2 linked regions of the Schizosaccharomyces pombe genome follow. The protein of the gene in region 2 binds, or shares a complex with, the protein of the main gene of each other region. Each region holds a gene or a part of one and is shown on either strand. Other genes may lie near its edges.

Region 1 (3,282 bases), on a different chromosome or scaffold from region 2:
TTCATAAGGAATATTGCCCACTACTTATTAGAATTACTTTTAAACAAAAATTTAACTTACCATAAACCACACATGATGGATTCATGTTGTATGTGGTAGAGGATAGCTGAAGCCCTCGCGTCTTCCTTGGGACGGTGTTAGTAAAAATGGGCAAATGATGTGTCGAATATTTTTCGGAATCAATCCCAAAAGTAATATCAACTTTAAAGAGATAGCTAAATAATTTTATACTTCAGCCAGAATTAATAAAAGCATCGCATACACAGTGCCTAATAACTAAGAACTCATTCATTCAGCAAGAAATTTGTGAACAATAAATGATAATATCTCCTTTCATACTTACATTTTGCAAACGCTAACTTGTAAAAACCTGCTTAATGTATAAAGATCAGCCAAAAACCTTACACTTCATTTTCCAACTACGGTCCTAATTACAAAGGGCCACAAACTCCTACACTCCGAGGCCGAGATGTATTAAAATTTCAAAATAGCGCTATAATGCTTATTATTAAATATTAGTACTAAAACACTCCTACCGATTAACTTGAAAAATTTAATATCAAAATATGCAGTTCGTACTGTGAATCAATTTACACCTGATAATATTACTTCACATATGTCTGAAAATCACCAACATTGGCCATACAAATAGTTGGCGCAGATCAAAGGCGGTTTCATAAAGATTACTCGGTCTAAATTTTTAATTTCAAAACACAAGAAGATATTAAGTGAGATATAGAAAAATGGTTATTTTTTGAGTTGGATCAACTAGTTCATGCTAGCAGATTAGGGAAATTAGTCAAACAAACCGAATCCCATATCTTCATCAGATTCCTCCTCTTCCTTGGCTTCCTCCTTCTCTTCAGCAGGAGCTTCGCCATCAGCGGCAGCGGGAGCAGCAGCACCGCCAGCAACAGGAGCAGCACCAGCACCAGAGCCAATGTTTAATAAAAGTTCCTTAAGGTCCTTGCCCTCAAGAGCCTTAGCGAAAATGGTAGCCCAAATGGGTTCAACATCGACGTTGGCAGCCTTGGTTAAAGACAAGAGCTTGTCAGACTACGCAACAATTAGTATAAATTAATTTAACAAAAACCGAATAAGAAGGAATAAGACGACTACACGCTATGGAAAAGATCTTTTACCAGTATCGGTAGAAGTACATTCACAACTTTTCTAGTAAAATATAACGTACGGTGATTTCAATACCCTCGTCAGCCAAAATGAGAGCTGAATAACTGGTAGCAAGTTCAGATGCAGACATTTTGACCAGTGCTGTTCTCTTGTTGTAAATGCAAGTGTTAAAAAACTGTGTTTTGTTTCGTTCCCTATCTCGTGACTATTTTTACAGCCCTACCCTAATGTGTGTGTCTATTTAGTAGGTGTTACCTTGCTAGTACTAGGTAACAATTGATTGAAAACGCGTCGGACGCGTTTTAATTCCTTCACAATCCCTACTAAGCAAGAAAATTCTTGCCATAAACCAATTCTTTCTCTAACAAAACTATTTCCTTGATTTATTTTTTAAAAACCTAATCTTTCTTTTCTTTAATAATATAAAAAACTCTTTTCAATTCCAGAATAGTGATAATTTCGTGCTTAACAAGTTATAATGGCAGATACAGAGGTGGAAATGCAAGTTAGTGCAGCAGATATGAATAATAATGAAAATGGACAAGCACAATCAAATTATGAATACGACGTGAATGTACAAGATGAAGAAGATGAGGCCGCCGCCGGTCCTATGCCCTTACAAATGTTGGAAGGCAATGGGATTACTGCTAGCGACATAAAAAAAATTCATGAAGCCGGATACTACACGGTGGAATCAATTGCTTATACTCCTAAGCGACAACTACTTTTGATTAAAGGAATTTCTGAAGCAAAGGCTGATAAGTTACTTGGCGAGGCAAGCAAACTAGTTCCTATGGGATTTACCACCGCCACTGAGTACCATATTCGAAGAAGTGAATTAATTACGATTACAACTGGATCAAAACAACTAGACACTTTGTTACAAGGAGGCGTTGAGACTGGAAGCATTACAGAATTATTTGGTGAATTCCGTACCGGTAAAAGTCAAATCTGCCATACACTTGCGGTAACCTGTCAGCTTCCTATCGATATGGGTGGTGGTGAAGGTAAATGCTTATATATCGATACAGAAGGAACTTTCCGTCCTGTTCGTTTGTTGGCTGTTGCAGATCGATATGGCTTAAATGGTGAGGAAGTTTTGGATAACGTTGCATATGCTCGTGCTTACAATGCAGACCATCAACTAGAGTTGCTCCAACAAGCGGCAAACATGATGTCTGAATCCCGATTTTCATTGTTAGTTGTCGATAGTTGTACTGCCTTGTATAGAACAGATTTCTCTGGTCGTGGAGAGCTCTCTGCTCGTCAAATGCATTTAGCAAGGTTTATGCGGACGCTACAGCGCTTGGCAGATGAATTCGGTATTGCTGTTGTCATTACTAATCAGGTGGTCGCCCAAGTGGATGGCATTTCCTTTAATCCTGATCCCAAAAAACCAATTGGTGGTAATATTCTTGCCCATTCGAGTACCACTCGACTTTCTTTGCGGAAAGGTCGTGGTGAGCAACGCATTTGTAAAATTTACGATAGTCCGTGTTTGCCTGAGAGCGAAGCCATATTTGCCATTAATTCTGATGGTGTTGGTGATCCCAAGGAAATTATCGCACCTGTCTAAATTATTTTAGTATCGTTTCATTTTTATTTATTATTTTGCAAATTCTATGGGATGAGTTTGTAAGGATAGATATGTATGTGATGCTTTTTTGATAATTTCCTTACGATTTACTCTGTATCTCATATTTTTCTTTCAAGTATGCTCTTAAAAAAGAGCAAAAACCATTTGATCACACTTATTAACTCTCTGCTAAATCTTCATTACGTTTATTCGCATTAAACTATCAGGTTTTTGTAATTGCCATTAATTATGTTTGGGTGATTGGGTTACATTGGTGAACAAAATGTTTCACTTAAATTAATATTCGCTAAAAGTTTTTCATAGAAGTTTTCGTTCTTTTTTACATTTAAAGACCTATATGATTATATTTATCTCTACTACCCAAAAATGCTTGTCTTGTTACAAATTCAAATAAAAAATTAAATATAAAAAGTTTGCTATGGTATTAAAGTAAGAAGAATTTCTTTCTTTTTCTTTCTTTTTTATACTAAAGAAGCCTAAGGATCCACTTGCATTAAAACGCACGCAAAATGCTAAATTCTTGAAATTTTTACTATTATTTTGAATATTTGCAT
Region 2 (3,414 bases):
TCCACCACGTTTGGAGCCAGGGCCTGACGGAGGTGGTTGCTTGGCCCATTCTACACGAAGAACACCGCCACCTCTTTCGAGACGACGTCCGTGCACTTCATAATACGCATCTTCAGCATCACGGGAATCTTCGTACTCAACGAATGCAAAACTATCCAATAAGACGGTTAAAATCTTTACTTAGAAAGCCATTTACTTACGGTCTTGAAGTTCGAGTTCTAGGGATTGGGATGTCGCAACGTATTAAAGGCCCAAAACTAAATGAATAAATTAGCTATTTAAAGTGCATGAAAAACAACTTACGGCTCAAATTCATAAGCAAGCTCACGAGCACGCATTCCATCTCGAAATCCTGTCACATAAAGGGTACGAAGGCTTCTGCGACTCATTTTTTTCTTAAGAAGACGTTTTTTGCTCCAAAATTCGGTGTAAGTGGAAGGAGGAATGGAAATCCAATAGCGAATAGCACGGTGTGGCTAACGAATTTAGTAAAAATCACTCGTGCTCACTAAATTGAAATCCGACGACAAAAAAATTAATAATGACCTGCAGCGCGAAATACAAAAAGTAACTGCTAACACCAATATTAAATCAATAAAAGCATCGTCTTACAAGTACATATACGTTTACGATTAAAAAATTAGAAAGAGAATAATGTTAACCAACTAAGCTATTAGATTTTCATTGTATTCATATCTGGGAACGAACACTATTGATGTACACTAAAGCCGGATCAATAATGCACCGGTAACCTAATTTATGAACGCTAACCAAATGAGAAGCAACTAAGAGCTGATCCCATAAAGTGTGAGAAAAGGAAACGAGCTTGAACAAGGTAATTTAAACCTTGAATGCACGAGACTTTCTGCGACCACGAGCTCTCTCGAACTTACGGCCCTCAGAACGAACATAAGGAGCCTTATGCTTGTGGGGACCAAAGCCAAAGTGACGGTAAGCCTCACGAGCATGCTTCTTACCACGAACAAGAACAGTGTTGCTTCCAGTGGGAGCACGTAGAGCAAGCTGATCGAGGGTTAAAACTTCACCACCAGCTTTCAAAATACGAGCGCGAGCAGATTTAGTAAAACGAAGAGCGGCAATAGAAAGCTTAGGAACAGTCAACATACGCTCATCGTCGGTAACGGTTCCGACAACGACGGTGGTTTTGTTCTGAGAAGAAGCACTCTTACGGCTAGTTAAAGCAGCGATCTTTGAGATAGAAATAGGAGGACGGTTAGTCTTGGATTGAAAAAGACGCTTCAAAATAGCCTTGTTGAAGCGGGAATCTGTACGACGGGCCAAAAAACGGTAAAGCTTAACCAAAAGCTTTAAGTAGACGTTCTCCGAAGCAGGCTTGCTGCGTTGAGACTTTTTAACGTGATGTCTCTCGATATCAATTCCCTAAATCACTCATTAGCTTAATAGAACAAACAGGTATTCATATTATACATACCATTTTGATATAACGCTGCTTGTTCGTTTCAATAATCACTGCTAAAATTGGTAGTAAATTTGTGACTGCCTTTTTGAGCTAGGGTAGGTTTTAGGGAGGTTTATCGAGAGTCACTAGGTACGCCTTATTTGTGTAGCAAACCCATAAACGGAGGTGTATAAATGATTCAATATAAATAAGTATTTGCTAGATTATTTATTTATAATAGTGAGATTTTGGAATAGGGTAGGTGTTACTTTTGCATTTATCGAACACGTTCATTAACTCTCTAAAAATTAATTGTTTTATAAAACTAGATATATGAAAAAGATGCATTTGAATTTTACTGCAAATAATAATTGAATTATATAACCATATTTCATTGAAAATATTATACTTTATGGAACCCTTCAGTATTCATTTATTGTAAACCTTTTCATGCTTTTTGAGTAGACAAAGAAGTATTTTTTTTTTAAGCTGCACGAAAATTGCAAAAATTGATCGGAATACAATTTCTTTTACTATTGGGCGCTTAAAAGATAACAAAAATAAATATAAAGTGCGAACACGAAGACGTTGCAAATACTAGCATATTTCAAATATTAAGCACATAAGTAAATTAATCAATATATTTTTATAATTGATTATTCAAATCTATGTATCTGATAACTCGTAAAATTGGTTAGGTTACTTATTTACCTATTTTTTTTTTTCTAAAAGTATCATTTTAAGACCACGAGTCATCTACAGGATTGATTTTAATTTATTTTAGGCAATAAGGAACATATCTCGATTTAATAGGAAATCTTTGCAGAGATTTCTATCAATTACGAGATTAGGATATTTTTTTGATCGTTTAGATAACATTTTCTATTTAAAGGGATCAGAATGTTGCTAAAACAAATATATTTGCTTCGATGCACAAACACTTTCTAAATTGAACGTAATTATTAATCAATGATAATATTTGATTATTTAAGTTACTTGCATGTTTAGCTCACATTAACTATTTTAACTCTACGAAATTAAGTAATTGTTATGTCCTCTATCAATTTGATTTGAAGCAATTTCATGTTCTTCTTTTGGCATAGATTCAGTCAGCTTAGTAGTTGCAAGTAGATAATTCTCCATACTCTGATTGCTAATTTCTTTAGGTATTTAGCTCTTTTTTAAAATCAATGATATTTACTTAATTACTTTGGAAGGAGAAAACCATTAATATTATCTATTTGTATTATGAGTTGTAACGTGGTTTCGTGGTGTAGTGGTAGCATACTTCGTTTGGGTCGAAGTGGTCACGGGTTCAATCCCCGTCGAAACCCGAACTTTTTAGTTTGTTTTTTTATTTAATTCAGTATAAAAGCAAGTTTTCAACTTTTTATGTTTTCTGCCATTCCTGACTGCGGGTAGTAAACACGCGGCCATTTAGCAAATATTATCACAAATGCCGTAAATACTTTCTGTTCACTATAGTTTGTGCTTATAATAAACCTCTTTAGTTTTCTTTAGCGAATATGGTTAAAGCTGTCCTTTTTGAAACACTTTAACATGCAAGTAGTAATAGGCTATCATTTTTTGGTCATTAAATATTAAATCATTCATAACACTATATTTAAAAAGGAAAAAGTAATTCATTTTCTGTTCACCATAATAAAATATTGTATCACCTTAAACAGCGATAAAGAATCGTAATGCCACTTAGTAAACGGATTTCTACGCTAACTTGCTGGAATCTACTATAGATGATGAGTATCTTCAGTACAGTGCTTAAACTATTATGATGTCAACTGAGGACGTCATACTGTATACGCAAAGTATGTAAATTCTATTAATACATATATACCCACCACAACATACCAATTTAAATCAAATTCGTTAGTGTTTACAACTTTGAAGAAAATTTGACTTTTATCTCTCCTCATATTCACTGAAAAATTTTTTAAGATGTCTGCAAAAGAAGGAAGCTCCCATCCCTCATATGC

The links. Proteins that work in one complex are often made in the same cells at the same time.
Region 1: rpl1801 (region 2) and rpp101 share a complex: the UniProt entries of both Schizosaccharomyces pombe proteins name them as parts of the large ribosomal subunit.

What each region holds. Positions count from the first base shown.
Region 1 is NC_003424.3:2,698,432-2,701,713, reverse strand, and holds rpp101 (ribosomal protein P1), read right to left. Parts: upstream 1,283-3,282; 5' UTR 1,262-1,282; coding exon 1,193-1,261; intron 1,057-1,192; coding exon 796-1,056; 3' UTR 501-795; downstream 1-500. Other genes in the region: rna15 (RNA-binding protein), read right to left, coding at 1-20, 61-85; rad51 (RecA family recombinase Rad51/Rhp51), read left to right, coding at 1,610-2,707. UniProt on the Schizosaccharomyces pombe protein: Component of the ribosome, a large ribonucleoprotein complex responsible for the synthesis of proteins in the cell.
Region 2 is NC_003423.3:3,359,859-3,363,272, reverse strand, and holds rpl1801 (60S ribosomal protein L18), read right to left. Parts: upstream 1,476-3,414; 5' UTR 1,457-1,475; coding exon 1,454-1,456; exon of another isoform or gene 1,402-1,453; coding exon 841-1,401; 3' UTR 641-840; downstream 1-640. Other genes in the region: pre-mRNA-splicing factor srp1, read right to left, coding at 1-151, 201-257, 304-389; SPOM_SPBC11C11.06C (uncharacterized protein), read left to right, coding at 3,377-3,414. UniProt on the Schizosaccharomyces pombe protein: Component of the ribosome, a large ribonucleoprotein complex responsible for the synthesis of proteins in the cell.